2 linked regions of the Alligator mississippiensis genome follow. Each later gene encodes a partner of the first gene's protein in a complex. Links are inferred from orthologs where the notes say so. Each region holds a gene or a part of one and is shown on either strand. Other genes may lie near its edges. The genes, in order: CACNB1 and CACNG1.

The links.
Region 2: CACNB1 (region 1) and CACNG1 share a complex: the UniProt entries of both Homo sapiens proteins name them as parts of the calcium channel complex. The link is inferred for Alligator mississippiensis from reciprocal best matches to the Homo sapiens genes CACNB1 and CACNG1.

Annotation. Positions count from the first base shown.
Region 1 is NC_081827.1:165,923,017-165,939,230, forward strand, and holds the start of CACNB1 (voltage-dependent L-type calcium channel subunit beta-1), read left to right. Parts: upstream 1-7,041; 5' UTR 7,042-12,133; coding exon 12,134-12,220; intron 12,221-12,810; exon of another isoform or gene 12,811-15,788; coding exon of another isoform or gene 15,789-15,797; intron 15,798-16,214. UniProt on the Homo sapiens protein: Regulatory subunit of L-type calcium channels. Regulates the activity of L-type calcium channels that contain CACNA1A as pore-forming subunit.
Region 2 is NC_081831.1:5,750,610-5,766,823, forward strand, and holds the start of CACNG1 (voltage-dependent calcium channel gamma-1 subunit), read left to right. Parts: upstream 1-6,847; 5' UTR 6,848-6,960; coding exon 6,961-7,195; intron 7,196-16,214. UniProt on the Homo sapiens protein: Regulatory subunit of the voltage-gated calcium channel that gives rise to L-type calcium currents in skeletal muscle. Regulates channel inactivation kinetics.

The sequences.
Region 1 (16,214 bases):
GTCATCAATCCAATGTCTATACTTAGTCCATGATTTTTTGTATCTGGTAGCTTGAAGAAGTGAAGTTCGCAGGCTCCTCTATGAAAGGGGTTTTGTAAATTCCCTTTGAGGATTAGAACTGAGATTGGAGAGTGGTTTGCTTCTGAAAAATGTGCCCCCACCGGTAATTGGGTCTTCTTGTCTTTGGTTGGTTTTCATTGTGTGTTCATTCTGGTGTGCAGTTGTTGCACACTTCTCACAAGAGAACCACTCTCTCTCCAGTCTCTCAATTCTAATCCTCAAAGGGAATTTACAAAACACCTTTCACAGATGAGTCTGCAAACTTTATCAACCTACTGTATACAAAAAATCATGGACTAAACATAGACATTGGATTTATGACACATCGTAACCTGCCTAACATCTGACAGCCCAGGTAACCTCTCTACTATTTACCAGCTATATTCTTATCACCAGGTCTACATTCCTCTTACCCCCCTGCACCCACAATACCTATCTTGCCCATTGACTGCCCCAGTTTGCATTTTCACTGACTTTTTCACATGCATATTCTCCTCTGGCTTCTTTTCCATTCCATCCAGGAAGAGCACAGGCCAATTGTAGATGCTTCCTCAGCCTGATGAAGGTGTTTATACCTGAAAGCAAAGAAGATATTTTCCAGCTATTTTAGTTGGTCTAATAAAAGATATCTGATTTACCTAAAGAACCTTGTTTGCCTATGACCTTAGACCAATATGGCTACAACCTATATCCCTGAAGCTCTTTGCTTTCACTCCTTTTTTTGATTTGGCTATAGAAAAATTCTAGAGCAGGTCTCCTGTTGCAAGGAGCTCAAAGCCCACAGCAGAGTGGAATGGATCTTAACCCTGAAGATCCTTATTGGAGCAGTTTAATCTTGTGACTCACGTGTGCACACCTCACAGCAGTACTGCGATGTGGCACTCCAGGGCACCCTTGAAGGGATCTCAGGGCACCCCGGGGTGATGCAGCACCCAGTTGAGAATCACTGGGGTGAGATTTGAGGGCAGTCAGGAAGCAGGCTGCAAGATAGTCCCAGCCAAGAGTGGGTACAAGCAGAGTTGTAGCTGATCAGTGCTGTGCTGTGCTCTGGGAAGTATTGCACCCTGCACCTTCCTGGTTCTGCCTGTAGCAGAGGGAGAGGCAGAACAGTGGTCTCAGTACAGAAGTGGCTGGAGGTTTGCTGCTGCTGGGAGAGATGTCACCACCTTTTTTGGCTGCCAACATGCGTGTCAAGTAGCCAAAAACCCACTGATTTTCAGTGGCAAAAAGGAAGTGCCCTTAGCAGCAGCCAACCTCCAGCCTCTGCTTCTCTACCTTTCTTGCTGCTAGAGCCAGAGTTGATGCAGGAAAGGTGCAGACTGCAAGGGAGACCAGAGGGTGAAACCCCAACCCCAGCTCCATTCACTCCTGGGGTTCATGCCCAGTTCACCCAGCCTTCATTACACTACTAGGCACAAGGCATGGCAGGCTCAGAGGGGCAGATTGAGGAGAGTTATTAGAGGGTCGGATTCATAGGCCTGGATAGGGACAGAGTGCCAGAATGATAAGGCAGTGGGTATTGAGGTTTAGGGACAAAGTGGCGCTACGGGCACTAAAGTTGTTCAGGGCCATGTGATGCCAGGGTAGAATGATTATTCAGGGCTTTAAGTGAGGCCCTGTCCTTACTGCTTTGTGTCCTGTGACCCTCACACAATAAGGAAGCACTAAACAGCACTGAGCAGCTTGTCCAAAGTGGCATTTCCAGCAGGAGTTGTGTGAAGGATCAGGTATAGTGACATAGGCAAAGGGCTCTGAGCAAAGAAGTGGGACTGTCCATTAAAGATCAACCTAATCCTGCAGACATTTAGCTTGTATTTCCTTGGATATGGGTGATCACCTGGAAACCAAACAAACAATATTAAACCTAAGAATGGAACATAAGAGTTCTGAGACCCTTCATACATCTAAACCAGGGGTTGTCAACCGGTGGTACCTGGGAAGTCCCTAGTGGGTATGCGTGGACAGGCAGGTGGTAACAGACAGCCGCCACCCCCCACCCCGTGCCACTGACTCCCAGGAACAGGGTCAGGGGGGCAAGGGCAACAGCACCCCTCTGTGGGCTGCACAGGTGCCAAAGGGGGTGGGGAGCTCACACTGCAGCTGCCACCCACCACCCTGTGCTGCTGTCGCTCTGCATCTGGCCATGCGCCACCCCCAACCTCCACATCTGGCCATGTGCCACCCCTGCCCCCCCTGCACCCCCCAGCCACGTGCCAACACCCCACCCCCGCCACCACCACCACTCTGTGTCGTGCTGCTGGGGGTACACTTATTAAAAAAGGTTGAAAACCCCTGATCTAAACTACTCACAGCCTTTCAGAAACAGCTACTGTAGAAATCTGAGAAGAATGCATTGCATTCAAAACCTTGTCTAAGTCTATCCCAACCATGCAGTTGGGCCAATAAAAGATACCACCCACAAACATCCTTGCCTCTTACATACTGTAGGAAAATTTTTTCCCCCTGACGTTTAACTCCAGTTTTCCATGTTGTTACTTGAAAATAGGATCTTTGTTTCTCCAACATCCATCCACTATAGCTCATTACTCACCGGGGCTCTCAGTGTCTGATGTCACCTTAAAAGGGTATGGTGCAGTCTAATGATTAGAGCAGGGGACTGGAATACAGGACTCTAGGGTGTTGCTTCCATCTCTGTGTTTTGAGCTAGTCCCATCTTTTTGCTTGTGGTCTATACAGTGATGATGATGAAAAAATGGGGGTCCTATATTTCATGTCAATCCTGCTGATGGTAACTGCTTTAATAAGGACTGGTAGTGTTAGAGTGATGTTGTAGCCATGATGGTCCAGGAATTATGTGAGGCAAAGATTTCTTTCTGTGGTATCTTTTCTGGAACAAACTATGTAGTTGGGATAAAGTTAGACCAGCTTTTGAATGCCAGATATTCTTCTTCAGGTGTTAGGTTTAGGGCCACATGTGGCTGTGGGTACTAAGGTTGTGCAGGGCCTGACATCAGGGCAGGGTGATTGTTCAGGGATTGTGAGACCTTCTGCTCGCTTTGTGTCCAATGACCACACCCAGTAAGGAACTATTAAACAGCACTGAGCAGTTCATCCAAAGTAGCATTTCTAGCAGCAGTTGCGTGAAGGATCAGGTATGGTGACACAAACACAGGACGCTGAGCCAGGAACTGTAGGATGAAGAATGTCTTTCACTTGAAAACTTGTCTAGCTGTATCCCAACTATGCAGTTGGTCCAATAAAAGATATCACCCCAAGAAATCCTTGCTTTTCAATAAGGATTGGCATCTGTGAAGAGCTTTGCATCTTCACAGCACTGTCACAGCCTTACTTAATATTCACAAGTCCTTTGTAAGATTGATCAGTACCAATGCAACCATTTTACCATGGGAGAAACTAAGAGTGAAATTGTGCATGCCCATCCCTCTTTATAACTGTCAACCTAGAGGGTCTCCACAAAGAAAGTCCTGGACAATGACCCGTACATCACGACGAGGGCATGCTCAGCTGGGATGGGCTTCACCTGTCCCCCAAAGGTAAGCATGTGTTTTCTACTAGGTTGGCGGATCTCCTCCGGCGGGCTTTAAACTAGGCTCATCGGGGGGAGGGGAGTACGAGGGCAGGGGAAGCTGTGGACCACCAAACCATGTGGCACCCACAAGGACAGCCCAGCCTGAAGAAGGAGAACATTGGAAACCTGAAAGCCATGGGGAGACCAGCACTACAGAACAGGTAAGAAACAAGAAGGTAAGAAACAATGGGCCCCTTGGGACTCGGAGCGGGGGGGCAGCAAAGGCACCAGTCGCAGGGCTCAAGTGCCTATATACTAATGCTAGGAGCATGGGGAACAAGCAGGATGAACTAGTGCTCCTGCTTGCACTAAACACCTATGACTTAGTGGGGCTAACAGAGACCTGGTGGGATTCATCCCATGACTGGGCGGTACATATTGAGGGCTATAGATTGTATAGAAAGGACAGGTCGGGGAAGAAAGGGGGGGGGGGGTTGCACTTTATGTCAGTGAGCAATATACATCAACCCTCATCAAGACAGAATCCAAGGTTGAGGAAGTAGAAGGATTGTGGGTTAGGCTACATGGGGGGCAAGGAGAAAGGGATTTGGTGGTAGGGGTCTGCTACAGACCCCCACACCAAGGGGAAGAAATAGATGCGGGGCTCCTGAGGCAACTCTCGGAGACCATAAAAGCTAAAGAGGCGGTAGTCATGGGGGACCTAAACTACCCGGACATCTGCTGGGAGACGCAGACAGCAAGGTCCCATTGCTCACGCAGGTTTCTAACCTGTGTACAGGACCTCCACCTGACACAGGAGGTGCATGGTCCCACTAGGGGGAATGCCATACTGGATCTGGTATTGGCAACAGGGGATGACATGATAGGGAACCTCCAGATCGGTAGCCATTTGGGAGACAGTGATCACCTAATAATAGAATTCAACATAAGACGTCGAATGGGTAAGGTAACTAGTAGGGTGAAAGTGCTAGACTTTAGGAAAGCTGATCTCAATGCACTCAGGCGATTAGTCAAGAACACACTGCAGAGTAGGAGTTTTGAAGGGATGGGAGCCCAAGAAGAGTGGCTGTGCCTTAAGGAAACAATCCTTCGGGCACAAAGCAAAACGATCCCTGAGCATGGCAAAAAAGGGAAAGGGGCCAGGAGGCTTCCATGGCTGACCAGAGAAATCCAGGGCAGCCTAAGGGCCAAAAGGGGAGCACATAAAAAGTGGAAACAGGGTGAGATCACTAAAGATGAATATACCTCCTCTGCTCGTGCTTGTAGGGAGGCAGTTAGGCGGGCCAAAGCAACCATGGAGCTGAGGATGGCAACCCAAGTAAAAGACAACAAGAAATTGTTTTTTAGATATATTGGGAGTAAAAGGAAGGCCCAGGGAGGACTAGGACCCCTGCTAAATGGGCAGAAACAATTGGTGACAGATAGCGGGGACAAGGCTGAACTCCTCAACGAGTTCTTTGCCTCAGTATTCCTAAGTGAGGGGCACGACAAGTCTCTCACTGGCGTTGCAGCAAGGCGCCAGACTTCCATACGTAGATCCTGAGGTGGTGCAGAGTCACTTGGAAGAACTGGATGCCTTTAAGTCGGCAGGCCCGGATGAGCTCCATCTGAGGGTGCTGAAGGCACTGGCCGACATCATTGCACAGCCACTGGCGGGAATATTCGAACGCTCGTGGTGCACGGGCCAAGTCCCGGAGGACTGGAAAAGGGCTAACGTGGTCCCCATTTTCAAAAAGGGGAGGAAGGAGGACCCGGGCAACTATAGGCCAGTCAGTCTCACCTCCATCCTTGGTAAAGTCTTTGAAAAAATTATCAAGGCTCACATTTGTGAGAGCCCGGCAGGGCAAATTATGCTGAGGGGAAACCAGCACGGGTTAGTGGCGGGCAGATTGTGCCTGACCAATCTAGTCTCTTTCTGTGACCAGGTTACGAAACACCTGGACACAGGAGGAGGGGTGGATGTCGTATACTTAGACTTCAGGAAGGCCTTTGATACGGTATCCTACCCCATACTGGTGAACAAGTTAAGAGGCTGTGATGTGGGTGACTACACAGTCCGGTGGGTGGCGAATTGGCTAGTGGGTCGCACCCAAAGAGTCGTGGTGGATGGGTTGGTCTCGACCTGGAAGGGTGTGGGCAGTGGGGTCCCGCAGGGCTCGGTCCTTGGACTGATACTCTTTAATGTCTTCATCAGTGACTTGGATGAGGGAGTCAAATGTACTCTGTCCAAGTTTGCAGATGACACAAAGCTATGGGGAGAAGTGGACACGCCGGAGGGCAGGGAACAGCTGCAGGCAGACCTGGATAGGTTGGACAAGTGGGCAGAAACCAACAGGATGCAGTTCAACAAGGAGAAATGCAAAGTGCTGCACCTAGGGAGGAAAAATGTCCAGCACACCTACAGCCTAGGGAATGACCTGCTGGGTGGCACAGAGGTGGAAAGAGATCTTGGAGTCCTAGTGGACTCCAAGATGAACATGAGCCGGCAGTGTGACGAAGCCATCAGAAAAGCCAATGGCACTTTATTGTGCATCAGCAGATGCATGACGAATAGGTCCAGGGAGGTGATACTTCCCCTCTATAGGGCACTGGTCAGACCGCAGTTGGAGTACTGCGTGCAATTCTGGGCGCCACACTTCAAGAAGGATGCGGATAACCTGGAGAGGGTCCAGAGAAGGGCAACTCATATGGTCAAGGGCCTGCAGACCAAGCCCTACGAGGAGAGACTAGAGAAACTGGACCTTTTCAGCCCCCGCAAGAGAAGGTTGAGAGGCGACCTTGTGGCTGTCTATAACTTCATCACAGGGGCACAGAAGGGAATTGGTGAGTATTTATTCACCAAGGCGCCCCCAGGGGTTACAAGAAACAATGGCCACAAGCTAGCAGAGAGCAGATTTAGATTGGACATTAGGAAGAACTTCTTCACAGTTCGAGTGGCCAAGGTCTGGAACGGGCTCCCAAGGGAGGTGGTGCTCTCCCCTACCCTGGGGGTCTTCAAGAGGAGGTTAGATGCGTATCTAGCTGGGGTCATCTAGACCCAGCACTCTTTCCTGCTTATGCAGGGGGTTGGACTCGATGATCTATTGAGGTCCCTTCCGACCCTAACATCTATGAATCTATAATGGAAGAGTAGAATCAGGGAGGTCAGATTCAAGCCCAGAGATGATAACTGTCTTCCCTGTATTAAAGATATAATGCAGAAAGGTAAGAATTTGAGATACCCCTCCAGGATCAGAAAGTGAAGAATTCCTGAGGGGAAAAAAGGGAGAAACGTGTACAAATAAAATGCACAGGTAGGAATCATGCTAACAATTAAAAGGGATTCTCCAGTTGTGGCATTTGCAACAAGCGATATAATAGAGCTTCCCCTTGGATACAAACTTCATTGTGTTGCTGTGGTTTGTTTACTAAACTAGATGTTATAAAGCACCAAAGTCTGACATTTTTGCAATGGTTTGTGTTTTGTGTTTTTCCCATCCCTTAAAGGACTGAAGTTTGGAAGAAATTGCCAGGGGAAAAAAAAATGATCTGTGGCTGCTTGTTAAATATTCAGACAAGTTTCTAACAGTTCATTTTGTTTCTGGCTGATGTAAAATGATCAACATATGGTATGAGAAGGAGACCTGAAAGGAACAGATTTTTGGTCCATTCTGAGAGAAAAACACGGATAAACACAGATTTTTTCTGTTTAAAAACCAACTTCTCATTCTGATAAAACAAACACCAAAATCTGAAGTATCCTTAGACAGGAGAATGTTTGGTTGGGACCTTTGGCCCACCCCTTCCAGGACTCTGTCCCATTGATGCTACAGAGAAACACAAATAGAAATTCACATCCATGACACTCAGAGCTAGTTACATGGGGCTTGTTCAGAGGAAGGTAAATATTTTTTCATAACCCCTGTAGAATAGGGCTGTCCAACTGTTGGTCCCTGGGCCACCTAAGGCAGCTGAGAGGTTAATATGCAGTCCACACAGCTGCTGTTGCCCCCACTGCTTCAGTGGCTCCCCATCCCACCTCCCTTCAGCTTCTGGTTCTTGCCTTTGCTCCTGAGGATGGGGCCAGATGGCAGGAGGGTGCCGCACACGCGGCAGGGGGTAATCTGAGCTGCTCATGCTGCAAGAGATGAGTCTGCACTGCTCGTGCTCCACGTGCAGTGGGAAGAAAGTGAGCTGCCTGGGCAGCGCATGTGGTGGGGGAGGACCAGGTTGTGCACACAGCTACAGGAATGCTGGGGGTCTGTGGCCCATGTGGCATGCAGAACCGCCACCATCCAGAACCTGGACAGCTCTACTGTAGGAGAGCCCTGCTGCACCCTGTGCAACCTCCCTCATGGGGAGGTCTGTCTGTTTTATTATTTTCCCTTTGTAGCACCTGATGAAGTGAGCTGCTGTGCTTACAGAAACTTATGCATCTCTGAGTTAGTCTGTAAGGTGCAAATCTACTTGCCTTCTGCCTTATTTCCCCCATAAAATAAAGGGCTGGAATGCAGCTCAGATTTGGCATGGCAGCATTTACACACACTGGAGAGGGCAGTCACATTCTCTTTGCCTTGACTCCATAAGAAAATAAAATGGACTCTCTGAACTCTGTGCTTTTCAATGTCTCCATTAGCCCCTTGCACCAGGTTTTATTGATCCAATGGATTTTTGGTAGCAGAAGGTTCCGTGCACCACGCAGAAGTGGCTGCATTTATTTGCAAGAGCTTGGGTTCAAAAGATGTTGACTCAATATTTGATCTTGTATTGTTTCAGGGATAAAGGTTGTGGCATCTAGTAATATTGTTAGCATCTGGGCTAGGCTTGAGCCAAACCTGAGCTGCCCCATGTCAGCAGTCCACCAGGGGCACTACTGTTGTACCACATACACAGCGTTGCAGTGTTTACTACTTGGATACAGGGGTGGGGAGCCTGCCTTGTGAGGAGAGATGCTCTGGCAGCATAAAGGAAGAGGGATTGTAATTGCATTACACTCCCACGCAGCTGCCTGTGGTTTGTGCATTCATTTCCCTTCCTCCAGCTTGCTGCTGCTCTGTCTCTTTCCCTTCCATTCCATCTGACCTTCCATGCCTCTCTACCTCCTGATCCACAGTGCTCACTATTTATCCCTGCCATCTCTCTCCCACCATGCCAGTCCCTTGCTTGTGGCTCCCCACAATTCCAGCTCTTCCAAGTTGGCTTCTTTTCACTGCCAGGATCCCTTGGGGAAGACCAGCTGCTGGTGTGGACTGGGGTGGGAGGGGGTGATTTAAACCAGTGAAATAATATCTAGGAAACAGCCACAGCCTCCCAAGACACTGAGCACATTGCTCCTCTCAGGACATTACCGGATCAGCGCTGCACAAACAGACCCATGCTGGAGAGGGGAGCCAGACTGAGGTCTGGTGAACTCTCTGGGGAAGGAGAGAAGCCTCAGTGACAACCATCTCCCTTCCCCTAGCAGGATCTACAAAGTGTTTCCCTAAAGGGCTGCCATCTCCCAAGGTCCCAGCTGCAGTTGGTCTGGAGAGATCACTTCACTCCAGCCCCCATGTCAGAAGAGGATGGCGGGGGGGTCATCTCCAAGTGGGGGGCTGTACTCTCCAAGAGCTTGGGGCTGCTTAGATCTGGGTCTTCGGCTTGAACCAATTTATAGTGTCCAGTCTAGCAGGGAGGGCAGGGAAAGCAAACTTCTTCATGCAATGGGAGGGTCACATCCAAGTGAAGTCACCAAACTGGTGGGGCTGTGTCCAGATCACCACGTTCTCCAGCATTTTTTCTCTCCTTAGGTGCCTCCTTCCAGTGGTACTGGTGCTCAGAGGGATCAAAGGAATGTTGTAGGGTCATGATCCTTCTGTACATGGGGGATCTTGCAAAGAGACAAGACAGGAGACGAGATCAGGCACCTTGTGCTTCCTGCTGGGGCAGAAACTGCATGAGAGCTTCCTCCCCACAGCTGCTCCAGCTCTGTCCCTCTCATCTGGGAGCAAGAATGCAATGCACAAAGGGTGAGAAGAAAATAACTGAACCTTGATTGATCTAGGGTTTGAAACAAAGGATCAAGGGTGGTTCTGATGTCCTGCAAACTGGATCCTTACCCTCCTACACTGTGGGATCTAGCAGTGAAAGCCTGTCAGGACTTCAAGGCTGTATTCTTGGCCCTGCCACTGATCAGCTGCTTGACCTTGGCCAAGACACTTCTCTCCCTGCCTCATTTCCCCAGCCTGTATGGCAGAGATGAAGTATGATTTGGAGCGTCAGTGCTGCAGACATAGGCACCTCTGACTGTCAATGATAGATGGGTTCTAATAATGGAAAAATCTCTCTTGCGTTGGATGTCCTGAACTCCCAGATAGATTGTCTTCAAGCAGCACAATCTGGGGAATAGGGCCAGGAAAGAGACAGTTCTTAGGAGGAGTCCACCACTCTCCACAGCAACAGAGGGATCAGTTTTGAGCCCCCTATCTGGGCTGGAGAGTGGGGTCCTCCCTCCTCTTTGGAACTGGGATTAAGAGCTGTCTCTTCACCTCAGTCTCCTTGCCCTGCAGTCATGAGCTAACACACCACAGCCACTTCTGGATAGTGAACTAACAGGGGTGATGAGACATGGGGGCTTTTGACAGCTGGGTCCAGCTGGGTAGTTGCAACTAAAGGGTATTGCTGTCTAGGGCTGTGCTGGGAACTGTGAGACAAGCACGGGCCAGGGTGGGTGTCTCAACTCAGTTCTGATTGGATTGATGAAGGTAATTGTGGTGACAAACTGGATCAGTTGCCAGTAGACTCAACCAGGAGACCACACACAAAGTTGGGTCATCATGGAGAGAGCTATGAACCATTGATTGAGAGGGAGTAGTGGGGAGAACCTGTCACTGATCTATTCATCCAAAGGCTTCAGGCTCCAGGGATGCCCACCTAATGCCATTCCTCAAGTCAAACCAAGCACTTGAAGATTCATTTGGTACACTCATTGGGTTTCCCCAGACCATGGCCAGAGGGACTATTATCTTGGTAGCCAATGCAAGTGTGTATCTCTTGGTGCTACCATTCACTAGTCTGGTGTTGGCACTTCTTGATGCTTAGCCCTTGGGGCTGAGACAACAGAGCAAAGTGGCAGGCCAGTTAGGAGAGGGGGGCTGAGGAAGGGCAGATGAGTCTCATTCCAAATGAACCACGGATCCCACCAGCCATGTGAGTTTTCCTCCTCAGCTATTTCAAGGAGTGAATGCAGGCTCATTTGATGTCTTTTCCCATGACGCTTTGCACCCACCATTGTTCACCTTCCTTTTCCCCAGTCTGTGCTGGGAAACAGAGGCCCAGAGGGAGCAGGAGCGAACCATGGTGAGACATGGTTTGTTTAGAAGAACATTGAGCCCCCAGAGATCCCTAGAGGAGGTAGGGTGCTCTCAAGAAGGTTCAGACAGAAGAGACAGGGTGAGAAGAGGTGGTAGAAAGGCTGGCGGTCTTGTGCTTCAAGGAATGGAGACTTGAGCTAGCTGGAGCTACATGTAGCCATGCCACACTACACGCAGTCAAGCAGGGAGGTGAAGCTGTCTCCATTACAGAGAGCTGCCTTGGGGGCCAGTACCATTCCCAGCCATGCCTCCCTGGCTGTGCATACATTCTGGGCAGGAGAGTATGGATGCCCACGCTGGCTCTGTTGGGTGGCAAGGTGACCCAGTCCAGCTGGGAACCCCTTTCTGTGCCCTCAGAAGCATTCCTTGAACAACACAAGGAGGCAGCCATAGGTGTCCCCACTTCCTGGGTATGAGGGGCATCCGCAAGTGTAGAACCCATGGTAACCAGGATGCTTGGGACCACAGGGTACCGGTGAGCACCCCACCTGTCCCAAACCCTTAGCCCTGGGGGGGAAGCCCAGCCTGGCACACCCAAGTGGATCCAGAGCCACTTTGCCAACTGTACCAACAGGGTGTGCTGATCTATTACACCCCCACAGACCCTCCCATCCCCCAGGGAAGAAGGAAAGAGGCACCCCAGCCATTGGCAAGCCCAGAACTTCTGCCCAGAGGGGAGAAGAGACGGGGATTGGAGGAGCCCTGGTGCCGGGGATCTTCCCAGAAAGAAGCTGGACAGGGAGGAGGGATGGGGCCCCTGTTGCAGGGAGGTGGGTGTGGGCATACTCCCCCATCCTCCCCCCCCCATAAGATAACCCCAGCTGGAGGCTTGGCCTGGCCAGTGCTGAGGGCCCTGTGTGAGAAGGGCCCCACTAATGCCACCACCCCTTAGCCGAAGCAGGGCAGCCCCTGGAGCCCGTGCGATCCACTTGCCAGCCGGGACATTGCCCCCACAGCCGGGACATTGCCTCCACAGCCAGGTGGTGAGGGCGGGCGCGGCACCGCGCAGGCTGGGGGGGCTCTGCCCACCCTGGCCGCTGAGGGGACGAAGCCAGCGCCCCCAGCCCCGCAGCGCCTGCTCGGGCCGCCCGGCCGGGGGTGTGGCTCATTGTGTCTGCCGGGGGAAGGGGCGGGCGATGCTCCGGCTCGGGCCGCAGGGAGAGGGCGCAGCGGCGGCAGCAGCATCGGGAGCATGAGGCCGGCGTGAGCGGGATCCCGGCCCCGGGGATCAATGGTGCAGGACGGCAGCATGTCCAGGACGCCGTGCAGCTCCAGCCAGGACATCCAGATGGACGTGTTCGACCACCCGGGCCTGCAGGTGACCGCGGGGCGAGGCGGGGGATCCCACCCGAGCCGGGCGCGGCCCCCCGGCACTGCTGCCGGCCTCTTTCCTCAGGCGGCTGCGGGGGTAAAGGCGGGTGAGGTGTGTGCGCGCGTCAAGGGGAGCAGTGCGTGCGTAAAAGGGAGTAGTGTGCACGCGTGTAAAGGGTGTGTGTGTAAAGGGGAGCAGTGTGTGTGTAAAGTGTGTGTGTCCAGAGCCCCCTTGTACAGCGGGGCTGGGGTTGGAGACAGGAGGATTTGACCCACTGGTGGTGGTGGTGGCTGGGGACTAGCACCCCCCGGGCTCCACCTTGATAAAGAAGCCGCTGGATTCGCCCCTCCTCTGCCAGGCCGAATTGGGGTGCCCCCAAGGGTGCAGATGTGGGTGGAAGGAGGAGTCTCAAGGCACCCTGGGAGACATGGTGCCCACCTCACCCCCCCTTTGCAAGAGGAGGCAGGTGGCAGTGGCGCACGGGTTTGTGCCACACACAGGAGGGGGAGTGGACATGGGGGAATGGGTGCAGAGCCCAGGAGTGTGGCCTGGCGGTCAGAGCAGGTTGTGGGGAGTCAGGACACCTGGGTTCTAATCCCTGCTTGGCTTCTGGCTTGCTGTGTCACTGCTCCATGCCTCAGTTTCCCCATCTGGAAAATGGGGCTAACTTGCTGAGGGAGGCTGTGGGGCCAGTTGGGGTTGTGGCCAAGGCAGCTTCTTCACCAGGAGACTGGCGTTTAGTAAACTGTCCCAGAAGTCACCATGTCCCCATCATGCCTTGTTTACTGGCAGCATGGTGGGGGGTTGGTTGGGTTAGTGAATGGGCCAAGACGACCTCATTGATATGATGAAACTCAGCACATCCTCCCCACTGGCTTTGCTGAATGATGCCCACACCCAGCTCTGAGCCTTTCCACGGAGACAATTCCAACTTTGCTTTAAACACAGAGGGACTGACACAGAGAGACTTGGGGTTGTGGGTGCGGAGCAGGGATGTACCTTGATAGTATCAGTCCTAAATGGGGAAAGAGACCCAGGACAAGCCTCTACTAGTTCAATGGGTGGCTCTTTAAATGGCCGTGATTAACCCCTTGCAACCCTCAGAGCTTCCCCCTCCCTCCTCCTTCCTCCTGGATGGTGGAGCCTAGCCACTAACTGCGGCCACAGCAAATGTGAGCCCTGGATGTTCCCTGATTAGAAAGACCGGAGAGGGGGAGGGAGGAGGAAGTTCCTAAAAATATCGACTCCTGCCCTGTTCAGGGACCATGCATCTCCAGGCTGGACAGCAACTGGGCCCAGCTGTCCCTCGAGGCGTGCCTGGGAGGCGGCTGCCTCATTCCGAGACCAGCTCTGCCCTGACACGTCTTAACCGTTCTCTATGCATGGAAGGTCCTGACCTTGTCGGCAGCTTCCGGGGGAGTCCAGCCCAGAGCTGAGGGATGTCTTGGGCACTGTGATGACCCTCAGTCTCCCTGGCAAGGAGGGTTAGCAGCAGAATGGTTCAACCACCAACCTCCTGGTTCATCCAGTCCCAGTATCCTCCAATAGGAGGCAGCGTAGGAACTGGTGTCAAACTAGTTACTAAGTCCAGGGGGCTCCTTCTGTCCAAACCCACAGAGGAGTGTTTGGAGAGAGAAAGAGCCTGATAAATGTTTCTATTTGAAGAGGAGCCACTAGGTTATGGGCTGACTCAGTGGGAGCCGGTGTGTTGGCCTGCTGCGTGCATGCTCGCATGCATGTGTATGTGTACGCATACACACACTTGCCTGGCTGCAGGGGCCTGTGTGGGTGTGTGGAGGGAGAGGACTGGTGTGTGTGCCGAAGGTGAAGGGGGAAGTGTGTGTGGAGGGTGTTGACAGGGATGGCTTCTATAATGTGTGAGCATAGGAAATTGTGTGTGCAGCTCTGTTTGCAAGGGGGTAGGTGTGTGTACAGCTCTGTGAGTACGTGGGTGTAACTACACAACTACAGGGTGTGACATGCACGCAGAGCCAGGGGGTAGGAGCCTGCATGTGTGCACACTCAGAGTTGAAATGTACCCTTCACTGTGTGCATGGCATTGGGGTTGTGACTGGTTCAGGTCCTTCCCTTACCAGATACAGACCTCTGTGCTCCCTTCACACCCTCCCCACAAGGGCTGGAGCTGTCTGTGTTGTCCCAGGGTCTCTGGAGATGGGGACAGGCTGACTTCCTCACAAGAGGAAGCTGCTGTGCGTGCCCAATATGGGGGGAGGGGGGCAATCTCTCACTCCAGTCAATCAGACCAGAATGACAGCACCCTTTGAAGTGTAGGCCAAAGGGTGGTGAGGTCCTATACTGGGATCCCTTCTCTGGGCTCTGGATCCCACCTCAGCAGTGGATGATCACTGTGCTCTCTGGCAGTTATAAGGAGGGGAGGGAGCCCAGCACCCCAGTCAGCAGGGACTGGCTAAAATATCCAGTCAGCCCCACATCCTCACTCTCTCCATGGTGACCAGTCCCTGTGTTCATGCCTCTATTTCAGTCCCATGCCCCTAGGGATGATGTTGGCTGGGGATAGAGCAGGGAGCCACCCTGTGCTGATTTAGTTGCCTTGCTTAGCAGTGGAGCCCAGGAGTGTGTCCCCTGAAAGAGTTAGATGCCCAGGTCTAGCAGCCCTCCCAAATATACTGATGCAGAGGCAGAGCCTACCCCATCCCCAACCTTCTTGGGACAGACACTTAAGCACGTAAGATTGCGGGGCATAGATGAGGAGCAGATCTCCTGGTCTTACTGGAGAAGCAGTTCAGCCCCAGATCATTCCACTACCTCCATATCTGTCACATCCTGCTACAGCTCAGCACCCCAGCCTGGCTGCCAGCTCTAAATAAGCATCTGCCTCCATCTTCCTTATAGTGAGCCTTGCAGCAAGCATGACTGCACACGCCTCACTCTTTCCCTCAGTACAGGGCACTGACAGTCAGCTCAGAGGGTCACCCTATACATGCACCTTCCCTCCCAGGGGGGCCTCCACCTGCTTCCCTCCTCTCTGCCTTGATTAAGCTACTGACTCCTCTGTGCTGATCTGTGGGGGGTGCCAGCAATAAGCAGGCTGTTATCTGGGGGTGCCTCCCTCTCCCAGTCCCTTCCCAGGGCCAGGGCAATGTGGATTCTCCAGCAGCCGCTGCAATCAAGCCCCTTAGATCTGGTGTCATCCTGCCTTGCCTGCTGCACCCCTCCCTGTTTCCATCGGGGTGAGCTGACATGCCTGGCATTGTAATTAGCTCTCCCAGTAATTAGAGGCTGGCTGTGGCACTGCATGGAGCCAGATTGGTTGTGAACCTGGCAAGGATATTAAAGCCCTGGAGCAGCCTATTGATTGGTGCTTGTATCAGGTGACCTGGCAGCGCTGTTTGCTGCCAGAGGCCTGGATGGCATCTTTGGCTGAGTTTTAGAGAGCGATCTCTGCCTGCTTTTAGCCCTGTCTCTCTTCTCCCCACACTCTGAACGAGTTCGCAGGAGCTACCGGCGTTGCTTGCTCAGTCATGGGGATGGCCTCAGAGGGGAAAGGATCCAACAGGCAGGCCTTAAGAGAGAGAGACATCCTCTGGGGACCATGCTTCAGGTCTGCTATAGAGATTTTCCTAGCATAATAGATGCTCTCAGACCAGCAGGCTCTTCTGGCCTCCTGCTCTGTTCCCAGTGGAGACTGGCAGACAATACTGGAAAGACATCTTCCTGTCCTTTGTGTTGTGATATTCAACCATAGGAGGAGGGGTTCCTGCCTGACCTTGCTCAAAGGATGCTCTGAACTGCGAGTATGGCTGACTCTTGTTTGCCTCCTTTAGCAAGCTGCCCTTTCCCATATATGCCTCCAGTGTGGTCACAGAAACAGCTTATGGTCTGTAAATTGGAGTGGGACTCCTGGGTTTTGTTTCCAGATCTCCTGCTTGGGTGGCTTTGAGTAAACCATGCTGCTATGCCCCAGTTTGCCTCATCTGTACAATGGGATTTAGGACACTGAGTTGCCTCCTAGGTGGTG
Region 2 (16,214 bases), on another chromosome or scaffold:
ATCTCCTCTCAGCCTCCTCTTCTCTAAACTAAATAAATGAGATCACTAAAGATGAATATACCTCCTCTGCTCGTGCTTGTAGGGAGGCAGTTAGGCGGGCCAAAGCTACCATGGAGCTGAGGATGGCAACCCAAGTAAAGGACAACAAGAAATTGTTTTTTAGATATATAGGGAGTAAAAGGAAGACCCAGGGAGGAATAGGACTCCTGCTAAATGGGCAGAAACAATTGGTGACAGATAGGGGGGACAAGGCTGAACTCCTCAATGAGTTCTTTGCCTCAGTGTTCCTAAGCGAGGGGCACGACAAGTCTCTCACTGGGGTTGTAGAGAGGCAGCAGCAAGGCGCCAGACTTCCATGCGTAGATCCTGAGGTGGTGCAGAGTCACTTGGAAGAACTGGATGCCTTTAAGTCGGCAGGCCCGGATGGGCTCCATCCGAGGGTGCTGAAGGCACTGGCCGACGTCATTGCAGAGCCACTGGCAGGAATATTCGAACGCTCGTGGCGCACGGGCCAAGTCCCGGAGGACTGGAAAAAGGCTAACGTGGTTCCCATTTTCGAAAAGGGGAGGAAGGAGGACCCAGGCAACTATAGGCCGGTCAGTCTCACCTCCATCCTTGGTAAAGTATTTGAAAAAATTATCAAGGCTCACATTTGTGAGAGCCCGGCAGGACAAATTATGCTGAGGGGAAACCAGCACGGGTTCGTGGCAGGCAGATCGTGCCTGACCAACCTAGTCTCTTTCTATGACCAGGTTACGAAATGCCTGGACACAGGAGGAGGGGTGGATGTCGTATACTTGAACTTCAGGAAGGCCTTCGATACGGTATCCCACCCCATACTGGTGAACAAGTTAAGAGGCTGTGACTTGGATGACTGCACAGTCCGGTGGGTGGAGAATTGGCTAGAGGGTCGCACCCAAAGAGTCGTGGTAGATGGGCCGGTCTCGACCTGGAAGGGTGTGGGCAGTGGGGTCCCGCAGGGTTCAGTCCTTGGACCGATACTCTTTAATGTCTTCATCAGCGACTTGGACGAGGGAGTGAAATGTACTCTGTCCAAGTTTGCAGATGACACAAAGCTATGGGGAGAAGTGGACACGCTGGAGGGCAGGGAACAGCTGCAGGCAGACCTGGATAGGTTGGACAAGTGGGCAGAAAACAACAGGATGCAGTTCAACAAGGAGAAATGCAAAGTGCTGCACCTAGGGAGGAAAAATGTCCAGTACACCTACAGCCTAGGGAATGACCTGCTGGGTGGCACAGAGGTGGAAAGGGATCTTGGAGTCCTAGTGGACTCCAAGATGAACATGAGCCAGCAGTGTGACAAAGCCATCAGAAAAGCCAATGGCACTTTATCGTGCATCAGCAGATGCATGACAAATAGGTCCAGGGAGGTGATACTTCCCCTCTATCGGGCGTTGGTCAGACCACAGTTGGAGTACTGCGTGCAATTCTGGGCGCCACACTTCAAGAAGGATGCGGATAACCTGGAGAGGGTACAGCGAAGGGCAACTCGTATGGTCAAGGGCCTGCAGACCAAGCCCTACGAGGAGAGACTAGAGAAACTGGACCTTTTCAGCCTCCGCAAGAGAAGGTTGAGAGGCGACCTTGTGGCTGCCTATAAGTTCATCACGGGGGCACAGAAGGGAATTGGTGAGGATTTATTCACCAAGGCGCCCCCAGGGGTTACAAAAAACAATGGCCACAAGCTAGTAGAGAGCAGATTTAGACTGGACATTAGGAAGAACTTCTTCACAGTTCGAGTGGCCAAGGTCTGGAACGGGCTCCCAAGGGAGGTGGTGCTCTCCCCTACCCTGGGGGTCTTCAAGAGGAGGTTAGATGAGCATCTAGCTGGGGTCATCTAGACCCAGCACTCTTTCCTGCTTATGCAGGGGGTCGGACTTGATGATCTATTGAGGTCCCTTCCGACCCTAACATCTATGAATCTATGAATCTATGAAATAAGCCCAGTTCCCTTAGTCTTTCCTCACAAGCCATGTCCACCAGTCCCTGAACCATTTTTGTCGCTCTCTGCTGCACTCTCTCCAATCTGTCCACATCCTTTCTGTAGTGGGGGGCCCAAAACTGGACACAGGACTTCTGATGTGGCCTCCCCAGAGCTGAATAGAGGGGAAGAGTTGCTTCCCTTGACCTGTTGGCAACACACCTATCAATGCAGCCCAGGATGCCGGTAGCCTTCTTGAAACAAGGACACACTGCTGGCTCGCATTCAGCTTATTGTCCACCGTCACCCCCAGGCACTTTTCTGCAGAGCTGCTGCCCAGCCCGTCAGCCCCCAGCCTGCACCGGTGCAAGGGATTGCTCCATCCTAAGTGCAGAACTTTGCACTTGTCCTTGTTGAACCTCATGAGATTTCTTTTGGCCCAATCCTCTAATTCCTCTCATACATGCCATGCTGTAACTGTTTTGATCTCAACTTTTTTCTTACCGATCTTTACTAGTTTGGCCACTCAACCCTCTTACACATCACAGAGGTCTTGCTTGATGGCTGTAAGATGGGAAGTCCTGGGAGCTTCCACTGGAAGATTTTGCCTGTGCTATTCTATCAGGGAGCAGGCTCTATGCCCCACCACTCAGTCTGTCCACAAAACCAGTGGAAACTTCATGAATCATAGAAGTCGGGTCGGAAGGGACCTTGTAGATCTTCAGGTCCGACCCCCTGCCTGGGCAGGAGGAAAACTGGGCTCAAATGACCCCAGCCAGGTAGGCATCAAGCCGCTTCTTAAAGCTCCCCAGGGTAGGAGCCAGCATCACTTCCCTTGGAAGTTGGTTCCAGATCCTAGCCGCCCTGACTGTAAAGTAGTTCTTATGGATGTCTAATCTAAACCTACTTTCCAACAACTTGTGGCCGTTATTCCTTGTTATCCCGGGGGGTGCTAGGGGAAACAAGGTCTTCCCCAAACCCTTCTGGTCCCCCCTAGTGAGTTTATAGACAGCCACAAGATCACCCCTCAGCCTTCTCTTGTGAAGGCTGAACAGGTTCAGGTCCTGTAGCCTCTCATTGTAGGGTCTGCCCTGATGTCCCCTGGATCATGCGGGTAGCCCTCCTCTGGACCCTCTCAATGTTGTCCATATCCCTCTTGAAGTGCAGTGCCCAGAACTGGACACAGTACTCCAGCTGCAGCCTGACCAGTGTTGCGTAGAGGGGGAGGATCACCTCCTTGGCCCTACTTGAGATGCACCTATGGATGCACGATAGGGTCCGGTTAGCCCTGCCGACCATGACCTTGCATTGTCGGCCCATGTTCATCTTGGAGTCAAAAATGACTCAAAGATCCCTTTCTGCCTCCATGCTCTCAAGAAGGGAGTTTCCCATCTTATAAGTGTGCTGCTGGTTACTACTGCCCAAGTGCAGCACCCTGCACTTGTCCGTATTGAAATGCATCCTGTTTTTGTTAGCCCACCTTTGCAACCTATCCAGGTCTTTCTGCAGTCTTTCCCTCCCTACTAGTGTGCCCACCTCACCCCAAATTTTGGTATCATCAGCAAATTTGAACGGGTTGCTTTTCACCCCGTCGTCCAAATCGCTGATAAAGAAATTGAACAGCGCAGACCCAAGGACCGAGCCCTGGGGGACTCCGCTGCCCACTTCCCCCCAGGTCGAATATGACCCGTCCACCACCACCCTCTGAGTACGACCCTTCAGCCAATTTGCAATATATCTGACCGTGTAGGCATCGATGCCACAGTTGCCTAGTTTTTTAATGAGGATGGGATGGGAGACAGTGTCAAAGGCCTTGCTGAAGTCCAGAAAGACTACATCCACAGCGACACCTGCATCCAATGCTTTTGTGACCTGATCATAAATGCTGAAGCTGGGGTTCTTTTCACAGAAACCCCAGCCCTCCAAATTCTCGCTAGGCTTCCTCGGCTCCACGGTATCCCTGTTCTAGAGACTTGCACTAGCGTCCTCTAGAGCACCTTTCCACAGAGGCAGGTATTTCACAACATTTATCAAAAGTACAACCATGCAGCCACTATTGAATCTAGCAGTATCAGCTGAGGTGTTGAAGTCCAGTAGGGTTGCAACAATGAGAGAGTCCCATTCACTATGTATTTCTGTATTTCACCATGTTACAATTTGGCCGCAGCAATATCCTTTATTTTTCTGTGTGTGGGAGAGCAGTCTGATGGCAGGGCTTCTCTCCCTAATTTTCAGTGGCCTGGTCCATGCATTGTATGGGAGAAGATGTTTTCTGTGCATCTGCTTTCTCTGTTCTGTGTACATTGCAAGGCTTTTTCTGACCAAAGAGTCCCCCCGCAACTGAAAGTCCCTGCTTGGTGTAAGGAAACCAGCTGCTTTCTAACCAAAGGAAATGTGTGGATTCAGGGCCATAGACCTCTGGAATTTGGAAGGATTGCCCCAAACACTTTTGTTCGCATGGGTAAAATCCTGTTCTTATTGACCTGTCCGTTTCCCTCTGTTACTGGGAAGGCTCCGTTACCTCTAGAGGCACCATCATGGCCAGAGGGCTTGGAAGAAAAGGAGCACAATCCACTGTGCCTGTTGAATTTGTTAAGGCACTGTTAGGTGCAAACTCAGATGCGGACACCAGTGACAAGAAGCAAACAGTACCACGACAGCTACTCCTGATTCCAGGGAAAGAAAAGTACTGGGGCTTTAGGAAGTTTTGAAGACAAAGACATTTTTAAAGCCACAAAAAAATGTTCATGGAAAATTTCATATTTTTGAATGAACAATCTGGGTTTTAATAAGGCTGTTTTTTGAAGGGAAAAAAATGTTTAAAAACATTGGTAGTGTTAGACCGGGGTGGGCAATTATTTCAGCTGGAGGGCTGCTTAACCAGTTTTGGTGAGCTGTCGAGGGCCGCATGGGTAGCCCACCTCTTGATGCTTGCCCCACCCCCTGGTCGCCATCTTCAGATGGAAGTCCCGCCCCTAACCCCTGACCTTTGCCACTAGAAGTCCCTCCCCTTGCCTGTGATGTGTAGCACTGGACAGAGCCACGTGCCTCTGGGTGCCAGCACCTGCCCTGGGCACAAGCATCCTGAGAGCCCCCGCTTGCTGCTGCTGCTGCTGCCAGTGGGGGCTATGCACCATGGTGGCTATCCCACCCTCCCTCACACTTCACAAGTGCCACACACCCACACCCAGCCCTTACAACCTCCCCACATACCCTATTTCCCCCCACACATACGGCCACACACCCTTACAAACCCCCCACTCCCCACCATACACACACCCCCACACCCTACCTTACACACCCCCACACTCCACCATACACACATACCCAATACCCCACCATACCCATACAGCCCCACACCCCACCTTACACACATACCCCTATCCAACCATACACACACCCTCCACACAATATACAAGACTACAAAAAGGCTGCCCTGAACTTTGTCCTGCAGGATTGGGCCCCACATGCTCCCAGGAGCGGCAGGGGCCCGAACCTGTGGGATGTCTGTTTTACCCAGTGAAGCAGAGGAGCTGTGCCAGGACACTCCCAGCACAACTGATCCACTTCATTTGCTGATGCCTGTTTACACCTTAATAAAAATCTACTGCAGAACAGCATCAATGTAAGACATAGCGTGATGGTACAGAACAACACACCAGGCTAAAATCCTCCATAAAACAAGTGCTGCTGGCCAGCTGACAAGCACAGACTCAGTCACCTGCATGCCAGATATGTACAGCAGCATGCCAACAACTACTGAGCAGGCTCCCTGCCAGCCACAGTATTTAGGGTCAGTTGAGAGGCAAGCCTGAAAGAAAAAAAATCTGCTGCACTGCTGAAAAGCATTTCAACCTCTCATTGTTTAGCCTATATCCCTCCCCGCTCCAATCCCACTTAGACTCTTGCTGAGAGGGCTCTCTTTCAGACTGTGACAATAAAAACTAATGCTGATGAGACGATGCTTAGCCAAATTTCTGTCCTTTCCACTCATGGCTAAATGTTTTTCTGGATAGCAAGCACCTTAATACATATTTTCCAGTTAATGTGCATCATTTCAAAATGGCATTTTCCATTTAATAACTGACCTAAATTTTAAAAGAAAAGAAGGGCTCAGACAGAATGGTCTGGGTTAGATTTAAAAAAAAAAAAAAAGAAAAAAAAACCCTTATTTTTTTTGTTTCATCAAAAAGAATTTTTAAAAGTTTCTATTGTGATTTCAACTGAAATGTTTTTTCCAGTACTTGTTTTAACCACCAAATTGAAAAATCCATTATTTATCCAATCCTATCACAGTGGAGATATACCTGGATTACAAAGTAAAAGTTCGGTTCCATAATTAGATCAAAATCCTGACTTCTACAAAGTTTTGAGGTGTTTGGATACATTTGCACAATTTGTGTTTTTGCAAACATTGACTTGAGTCGCGCATTCCCCCAGGATTGAGAATGCCTGCAGACAAGGAGGAGATTGATTTTGGATCCAATATTGAATTTTTTTGAATAAAAGTGAGCTCATGCTTATCTCAGTTACAACAACAGATATTTTACATACTAACTGGGAAGTTAAAAATTTACACCATTGACTGTTCCTGGTCACATTGTGAGTCAGGCGGTCTTGGTCTTACAACCGTGAATTTAGTTATACAGATCTAGTTTTGCTTCCAGTTGGCATATGGACCTCCAGAACAAACCAAGGAGGAATGAACCAGTAACCTGAGCTGCAGCAGCAGTTACTTCACTTATTACGTGCATTAAAAGAATCCCCACTCACAACAAGTCCAGTCATCCAGTCTCCTGATATATCTCAACAGCTGTACTTGTGGCCATATCCATCCCAGCCCAGTCTGTTCTTCTTTTTTGCATCACAGGGCTGACATTTGAAAATGCTTAGACATGCCAAGACTTTGGGAGACCATTTGAATAACTTGCAATGATCTTCCATGCAAGCAGATCAAGGCAGACTCAGCAGTAATCACCAGGCAGAGGCTGCTCTATGTGTTCCAACACAGTCCAGCCATGGACGAAGGCAAAACACTGAAAATCCGGCTAACTTTCTCCGTTATTTTGGTTGGTGTTGCTTTATTGTTTGCAGCTGTGGTGACTGATCATTGGGCAGTGCTGAGCCCTGAAGTGCTGCACTACAATGCCACCTGTGAGGCTGCTCATTTTGGGCTATGGCGGCTTTGCACAAAACGGATTTACGTGCAGGATACTAAAGAGAAGGGCTGTGGACCGATCAGTCTGCCAGGAGGTACGTGTCAATGCTCGTTTCACATCCCTTCCCAGAAATGCCTGAGAGAAAATGCCACGTTATTGCTATTCATGTCTTTTAGGAACCTACAAGACATATTGAAAAGGAGATATGGTTCTTTGTTCGCATTGCACTTAGTCTTACAAGATTTCCTGAGTGAATTCGGTTCCATATTAGCATGAAAATACACCTTATTTTCATATTTCCTTGAGGCTTATCTTAAGTACATGATGTACTGCCACAGTACATATCTTCAAGTATATTCAGTACACTGCCTTTCAGTAGCTTCTGTACAGAAAAAAAAAGAATATAGTTCGTATAACAGATAGGAGATGGCAGAAAGCATAGACTGAAATCAGGGAAATGGGACATTTTCTCACTGGTGTTTTGATGAAATCTTCAATAGGCCCAGCCCCAAAACACCTACACAAGCCCTTATTCAAGGAAAATGTATATAATTTTCACTGTGAGGTTTGCCTGTATGAGGATTATAAGACAAAATCTAGTGTCTGCAGTTAGCTCAGAAGAAGAACTTCCTGGTTCAGATAACTTCAAAGGGACAGCTTGTGCAGGAAGGATATTAACATATCCCCAAGCTACCCTGAATAATTATCATTGCTTCAGACAATGTGCAACTTTGGACAATCATACAACTTTTAATGTATCATGCTAATGTAATGTCCTCCCTGGAAACCATCTCCCTCATTTAAATGCCAAAAATCCCGTAGACTGAATTAGAAATAATATATCATCAATTTATTGGGTTTCCTTAAACTTCAGTGACTGAAAGCAAACATATTCCAACATTATTGCTAAATGAAGTTTAATCAGCTGCCTTTCTTCATGACAAGTAGTAACATACGTTGTAAGTAGCCCTTACTGCAACTAGTAGGCATGGTAGTCAAGTAGGTGATTTCCAGGGAGAACATTACATTAGCATGATATATTAAAAAGTCGTATTATATTTTTGCTGGATGGAAAGTCAGCAACATTCATGCAACATGTGCTAATACCCTACTCACAACTTCACTAAGCTGTATTTTAAAGAGGCTTGCCATGAATTGGATTATTTGCCAAGCAGAAGTAATAGGCTGCTTTGCTTGTTAGAAATACTATTTGAAGCTAAGGTTAGATTTTAATATATTTGTAAATATGCTATGAAATTGCATAACGATAAATCTCAGTTCATGTGATTAATTAATTTATTATTAGAGATCTGATCCGCAGCTTTCAGATCCAGGCTTCCACCAAATTTGGAGCTGTTTGAGTCTAGACGACTGGCTGTAGGCCATATCTAATATGCATAATAAATGTGTTGTAATATGTATGTGCAATCCTAGTTTTGCAAACATTAGAGCTTCTATGTTTAACATAAAAATAAGGATTCATGGGAACACCAATACTGCATGTTGCTGGATACATTTATAACTTATAAATACCCAGCTGTCTCTATAAAACAGATTCTGAGTCACTGCAGCAGAGAAATGACTGCTCTTTTTGATGGACATCACCATGTGCTTGCATGGTTGTCACATAGCTGAGCTATCCATCCCTCTGCACTGCCTTCCTAATGTGTCCAGTAAACAAATAGGTAATTATGAAAGAAGTGAGCCAGTCCTCTGCAAAGCAACTTGAAAAGACTAGACATAATCTTTGTATGCTGCACAGGTCAGCACTTGGCAGTTATTCATGAGATTTGATTAAATTTAATCCCAACCACCTAACAATTAATTTTCTAGCACCAGTCATCCTACTACTGGAGGCTTTGAAAGAGTCCGTCCCCCACATTTTTTTTTTTTTAACAACTGTTAATAACATTCTCATATCTCCACTATAAGGTAGATATTACTGTACCCATTCTCCATATAGGGAATCTGAAATAGGGAGGGGTGGACTAAAACTAGCCCCACATATAGTCCATAGCAGAGTTTGAAAAGAAACCCAAGAATCCTGCTTTTCAGGATTCCCCCTTATATTGTAGGTAATATTGCCATTATTGTAATGGTATCACACTCTTGAAAAAGAGACATTCCAGTTGTCAAGCTTGGGTTTGTCAAGAAAGTTTAGCAGAACAAACAGACAAGCGGGGATTTTGCTTGTGACCATATCAGTAGATCTTTTTTCCCCCTTAAATGTCATGAGATATTAAATCCTACACTATCATCATCATCTGAAAAATTACAAGTATTTACTACTTCATTAATAGCCACTTACCCAGTCATACTCACGGAAAAGATGGATGGCATTGCTACTATTATTTATTTGTTGAGTTCAGCACGGTATGGCATGAAAAGGAAGGGCTTGGGGATTGTAAGCTAAGAAAAGGTCTTGTGATTCAGGCAAAGAGAATTAAAATTACTTAAAAAAATATGCTAATAAACTAGAAAGGGTTCGTAAATTTATCCAAGGAATGACAAGATTTAGTAGTTGGAAGTTTAAGTTAGACATCAGGTTTTAAACATGTGAGCCTTAACTGTAACAGACCTTTGGAATAACTTACTTGAGGATGGGGTAGACTCTTTATCATGACAAGTCTTTAAATCAAAATGGGATGTTGAAAGGTAAATCTTATTCCTTATCCCCCAGAAGATATGGGCATGGTGTAGAACATCACCAAGTGACTTTTATAGCCTGTGGATGCTGGAGGCAGATTGATAAATGAACGCTGTTCTTATAAAAAAATCTACAAATCTACAAAATTGCAATGTGAATGGTGCCGATACGGTACTGCTGACTGAATCTGACCAAGTGACTTGACCTGCTTCCAGCATCTCTCTTGTCTTATCTGTATAGTTGGGATAGTACAACATACCTGAGAGGTGACCCCGAGTCCAGCCCCACCAGTTTCAGATGATGGCACAAAAAGGCAAAGAGTGGGGTGTCGACTTCAGGAAGCCCAGGTGGAAATTCCCCTGCTGTGCCACACATTTTCTGTGAGACTTTGGGCAAGTCACATAGGCTCTCTGTGCCTCAGTTCCCTAGCTACAGAATGGGGATAACAGGACTGGTCTACTGCACATGGTTGTTGTGAGGATACATTGAGAAATTATCAGGTTCTCAGATACTAAAAAAAAATGGGACCATAGTAGTATCTAAGTTCAGATTCAGATCCAACTTTTCCCTAAGTCCTCTGTGAAAAGTCCAGCCTTGTTTAATTGCATGCTTCTACCCCTAAAGTCCAAAGGACTAACAACATCAAAACCCATGCTTCCACATCTCATGGGTTTTCCCAGCAAAGGCACTTCAACCGATGAGCTATCCCTCGAGGCCTTCCCCGTTCCTCACCCACTGTGAGTCAAGCATTGGCATACAAGCCTGATGGATCACATCAGCCTGTGAGTCAAGTGTTGGCATACAAGCCTGATGGATCACATCAGGGCAAAGGGACAAATCTGGGCACAGGGGCTTCATTTTGTCCAGTGGGCAGAGTAAGCAATACTTCACTGGAGGGAAGGAGTCATTAATAGTACTAAGGCTTGATAGTCTATTCTTTCCTTCAGCTCCAAATTCAAAGACGTTAAGAGCCTGCTAGTTAGCTTAGATAGTATCTGCTTTTTTGCAGACATGAAGAAGAGCGTTTTGTGCCAGAAAGCTTGTCTAACATCTCTCCCAGCTATGAAGTTGGACCAAGAGAGAGAAGATCTCATCTCACCAATCTTGCTTCTTGCATATTTTTCCTGAATTACCATGGCCACAACAACACTGTTATTGGCTCATTTATCATTTGCCTGCCACAGCTTGGCTGAGATAGAAATATTCAGTGCTCACCAGGCCAAACTCATCTACATTTCCAGGAGCGTGACAGATAATAAGGCAGCTGGAGATGTATCAAGTACAGGGTCCCTTGGATAGCCATCTCTGTTTCCGCTCTAGTGTACCTATTGCACAGGACTACCACACAGTGTAGCGGGTAACTCCAAGCACGGCGGCAATACAACATCTTCCACTGGAATCCTTTCAAACGATGCCGAGGTTCATGCTGATTTGGGGATGAGGGTGAAAAGCAACCTGTGTTATTCTGTACTGTAAGGAGTTTATTAAGATGACCTGTAAAACTGACTGGATCAAAAGGAGCTGCACTTGTCCATTTAGACTCAGAAAGATTGGGTTCAATTGATTATCCCTCCTGGACTACTTTATAGGCCATTAATTTGCATGCAGGTACCCTATATCAAGCCCAAAAGACCTGTTGAACTGAAGGAGTCCTCATTTCAGTCTTCAGGAGGCTAAGCTTTGGGCCACAGGCTGTGGCCAATCTCCAGTATTTCAGAAAGTGGCCAGAAATTAAAAAAACAAAACAAAAACCAGAGAAGACATCTAGCCATTTGTGCACTGGAGAACAGTTCCTTCCTGGAGGCTACCAGATGAAGCCTGGAAACCCGAGATTGAATAGAGAGCTGCAAGTATTACGGATCTGTTGAAAGCAGGGCAGACTATCCCATTTTCCGCAATGCCCAAGAAGGAAGGGGATGAACAGATTGCAAGATTCACAAATTTCAAGGCCAGGAAGGGCTACTATTCCCATCTATCCATGTTCCTCCTTCTATACCTGCACGTTTCTTGGTGATTCTTGCAATTAATTCGTATCTTTTAACAAGATTATTGTGTTGTGAACCATACTATGAATACTTTGAGAACCCTGCTTTACAAATGGAGATCCACAAAGCCAAAGGATTTTTTTCTACTAGCATAGCTGCTGGGTAACATTATCATGGAGAGAATGCAATTAAGGGAGGTGAGAGAGGAAGAATGCCACAACGTTTTCATCCATTATGAAGTTTTTTTAAATCCTAGCCTTAGTAAATGTAATGTGACAGAAATGGGAGTTTTCTAATTCACGGTGGTGCTGGAAAGGGCTTGAAGTAGCTCAGCTCTGTTGAATAATGGCAGGTTTTGTTGATAAAGGTATTCCCAGCTCAGTGGCTCACTGAAGTATCATTGACATGAAGACAAGTGTATCTCACCACCATCATTCTTAGAAAAAAATATCCAGCTTTATTCTGTGATAAATATATGATCTGCAATAGCTCTTTCCCCAAAGCTGGCGCATTGACTTAAAAACCTCTTGGCAGGATTATTATGAAGCTAAACCACAGTTCATTACATGGATAACCTGCATTCATTCCAGCAGTTCATCTCTAAAAAGACAACCCCAGGAACTGCCACGATATCCCCTCTGCCCCTTTTTTCTGATTAGAAAATGGGGTGGTGTTGGAGATACCTTTTCGAAAGAGTGCTAAGTATTCAGAGTACCATGGTACTAAGTATTCAGAGTACTAAGATTAGGGGTCCTAGGCATTAGAGGATTTCAAATAATTAATAGTGTGCTGCTTTGCTCACCTGTTCTATTTATAAAGCAACTGCAATGAAAAAGGATGTCAAATGTGCTTGCTCCAGTATCAGGGGGATCATTCATCAGCCTGTTTGTCATCTATCAAAGAATCAGAATGCCAAGTTTGTATTGCAAACCCTCCTGGTAACTGATAAACGATGCAATTGAAAAGTTAGTAGTTGGTGAGTATTAGTCATGTGACAGAAAACTTGTGTTTCGCTGATGCAAAGTGTATTTACTGGGTGTGGCAGCAGTGTAATGGAGAGTAGTGACACCTGGTACTACATGCAGTTTGGGGGTGAGAGGCCTTCTGTGAGAGGGATGAAGCAGCCACAAACTAGTGGCCCAGATCCTGTTTTCTTGGAGCCTCTTTGTTCTTTTGTGCTCTTCACTTGCAGTTTTTGCATCTTTAAGCAGTGGCTTAACAAACATAAAGCACCATCATATCTGTTTGAGATCAAACATGTTTGCTTCTGTCATATTCAGGGATAAAAAGAGATGTGGCCACTGGATGCCAGAGCTGAACAACCATTAACCGAACAGTACATGAGAAGAAGCTGAGGGATGGAATTAAAATCAGTTTATATATATATATATATATATATATATATATATATATATAAATAAAATACCTAACTCTCAAAAGAATCTTCAGCTAATGAGCTCCAAACATGTGGGTTACACATACTTCTTTGTAATTGTCTGACTTCCTATCAGATAGAAAATATTATATTTGGAACAACAATTCTAGGATATGGCATTTATGTTGTAGGAGAAACAAAAAGAATCTGGTTGATGATGTACAGATCTATGCCATTTTAGCACTATTGAAGGATAGTGCTGTCAATATACACATGCTTTGCAAGGGAAGGTTTGTCTGCATTGGGGCATGATTTTGGTTGCAGTCGTTTACGTCCAGCCAGTGGTGTACAAACCCCCGAGATAGAGACAAAGCCACAGGCTGCACCAGGAAAATTTACTGTGGATTCAGCCTGCACCAGTAACTTATTATGGATTTGTGGGCCTATACAAAGGCTGTGCACTGATGCAGGTACATGCATGGCTGGACACCAGTGCCTGACATTTCTAGTGCAAGCAAGGATTTAGTGTGCTGCAAAGAGGTGTGGAGTCCTAAAGTCCCCTCTTCATTTATAGACATTTATTTCCACTATTTCAGGGCAGCTGTGCCAACTTCCTCCACTCCCTCTCCCCCTCCCCACTTTATTTGTTCTACAAACAATAGGAATCATTAAAACAATTATGACCATTTGCCATCTGCCACGGTTACATTTCCTGCAGTCTTGGCAGCATTACCTGCTGTTACTTTAGTGATTATGGTAAAGCAAAATCAAACTCCTTGGTGCACCAAAGGTGTGATTTTTAATAAGGCCCACAAATAGAGAACTGCCTATATTCTCTTCAAATAGGCTGGCCAATAGAAAAAACACGATCAGACTATATACTGCTCCAGTTGGCAGCATCTTGTTAATGACACAATTCCCTCCAAACCCTTGGCAAGCAATTGTTCTCTTAACTATATGTATTCATCAAGCCCTCAATTAAACACGTTATAAATAGATGATGCTAAGTGTAAAGACACTCCTTCCTAATGCTACAGCTGGCAACACTGAAAGTCAATGACCATCTACTGAAAGGACCTGCCCCTGTCTTGCTCACACATTTATCCAGATTGAAAGCATGCTTCTTTTTTTTATTGCAAGCACAGATAGAAACTTTTCATCCTGTGGCTAAAGAGGGAATTTGAAGCCTTTGTTTGCAAGCGAGCATCACGCCACCAAATAACTTTAGACACAAGTCCAAAAACCCAGGAAAGACTGGTGCAGTTGGTCTATTCCACTAGAGTCAAATGCTGCACACTTCATTTCATTTTAATAGATTCCCCCTTACAGCAAAGTTTCAGTGACCTGTAAGAAAGTTCCATGCTGCAAAGCCTTGTGGACTGAGCTAGCACCAAGATAGCATCTTCTCCCTTCTAGTCCCTGCCAGGGAGTGACAGGAGAGAGATGGGATATTCATTACCGGTGGTTAAAGCAGAGTGAAGCAGAAGAGGGAAGTCTGATCTCCCCAGCCACATCAGGTGGGCAACCATGCATGCGTAGGGAGAAGATTCTGCTTACCTGAGCCAGGAAAGGGCCTCTGGTTCCATCAGAGGAGAGGAATTTGCAATTCCAATACTCTCCCTTACTTTAACCCCTGCTCATCAGGGCTGTGCAAAGCTATGGGTGCCGATTTGATTCGGAGGAGATTCGGCCTGATTTGGTGGTGGAATCTCCGAATCTGAATCGAATCAGGGGACCAATTAAAAGGTTCAAATCGATTCAAAGCTTTTTGGAAAAGATTCGGAGAGCTTTGATGATTCGGGCAGTCCTCGGTGGCTGCAGCGTGGAGCTGGAGCTGGACTCGGAACTGGTAAGTAGGGGGTGGGGGTGAGGGGACCATGGGGGGACCCCCGCCAGCCCTCTGACCCCACCCACTCCCTCAGCCTCCCCCCCCCATCCCACGGCTGCCCTGCCCACCCCAGCTCCCAGTCCTTTAAAAAAAAGGCCCAACTCACTGGGTGCTGCTGGGTGAGGGGTGATCTCTGCTGCCCCCACTGCATGGGGGGCTCTGCATGAGCTCTCAACACCCCCCTCCCCCCACGGCTGCCCTGCCCACCCCATCTCCGGCCCTTTAAGAAAAAAAAAATGAGAAAAACCCCAGGAATCACCACTCCTACAGCAGCCTCAGGGCTTCAGGGGACTCATGCAGAGCCCCCCACATGGCATGGGGCAGTAAGGGGGGCAGCAGGGATCACCCCCCCACACCAGGCAGGAATGGTGAGTCCAGGGGTTTTGGGGTTTTTTTTACTTAAAGGGCTGGAGCTGGGGCAGGCGGGGCAGCCGTGGGGTTGGGGATCAGGGGACTCATGACAGAGCCCCCCATGCAGTGTGGGGCAGTGGGGATTGTTGGGTGGCAGCACCCGGTGAGATGGGGCTATTTTTTCCAAGTGCTGGGAGCTGGGGCGGGCAGGGCAGCCATTGCTGGGCTGGGAGAGCGAGCAGGGGATGGGCCTGCATGATTCGGGGATTCGGCAGCAGCTGACTCTCCAAATCAGATTCGGCCAAATCAATTTGGGACAGTGATTTGAATCACTGAATCGAATCACTGTTCCCCAAATCAGCCAAATTCGAAGTGAATACTAGTTGCTTTGCACAGGCTTACTACTCATGTCATAAGTACCAGCCTTGTATACCTTGGTAGAAATGCCATTGTGGCGCAGGGATGGGTTGGCAATGTGACTTGTGCAGGGGAGGGGAGGGCAGGGGAGCCAGGGGATGCCAAACCAGGTTCTGGAGGCTGTCATTAACAGGAAATGGAGTACAGGTTTCCCTCGCTTTATGAGGTATATGCATTCCTAGAAAACGGTGCATAATTGAATTCACGTAAAGGGAACCCACTTTACAATGTAACAAATAGGAGTTCATTCCAAGACCTGGACTGTACTGACTCCCAGACCCATTTCTACCACTTTTTGGTAGAATTTTGGTAGTCACAATTTTGACAAAGACAATTTTGGTAGTCACCAACAGCAGACAGCACAACCAAGCGCAGGGCACTATCATACAGGGTATGGCAACTACAGAAATATGTGTCGCAGACAACGAGCGAGGAGCACAGAGCCACACA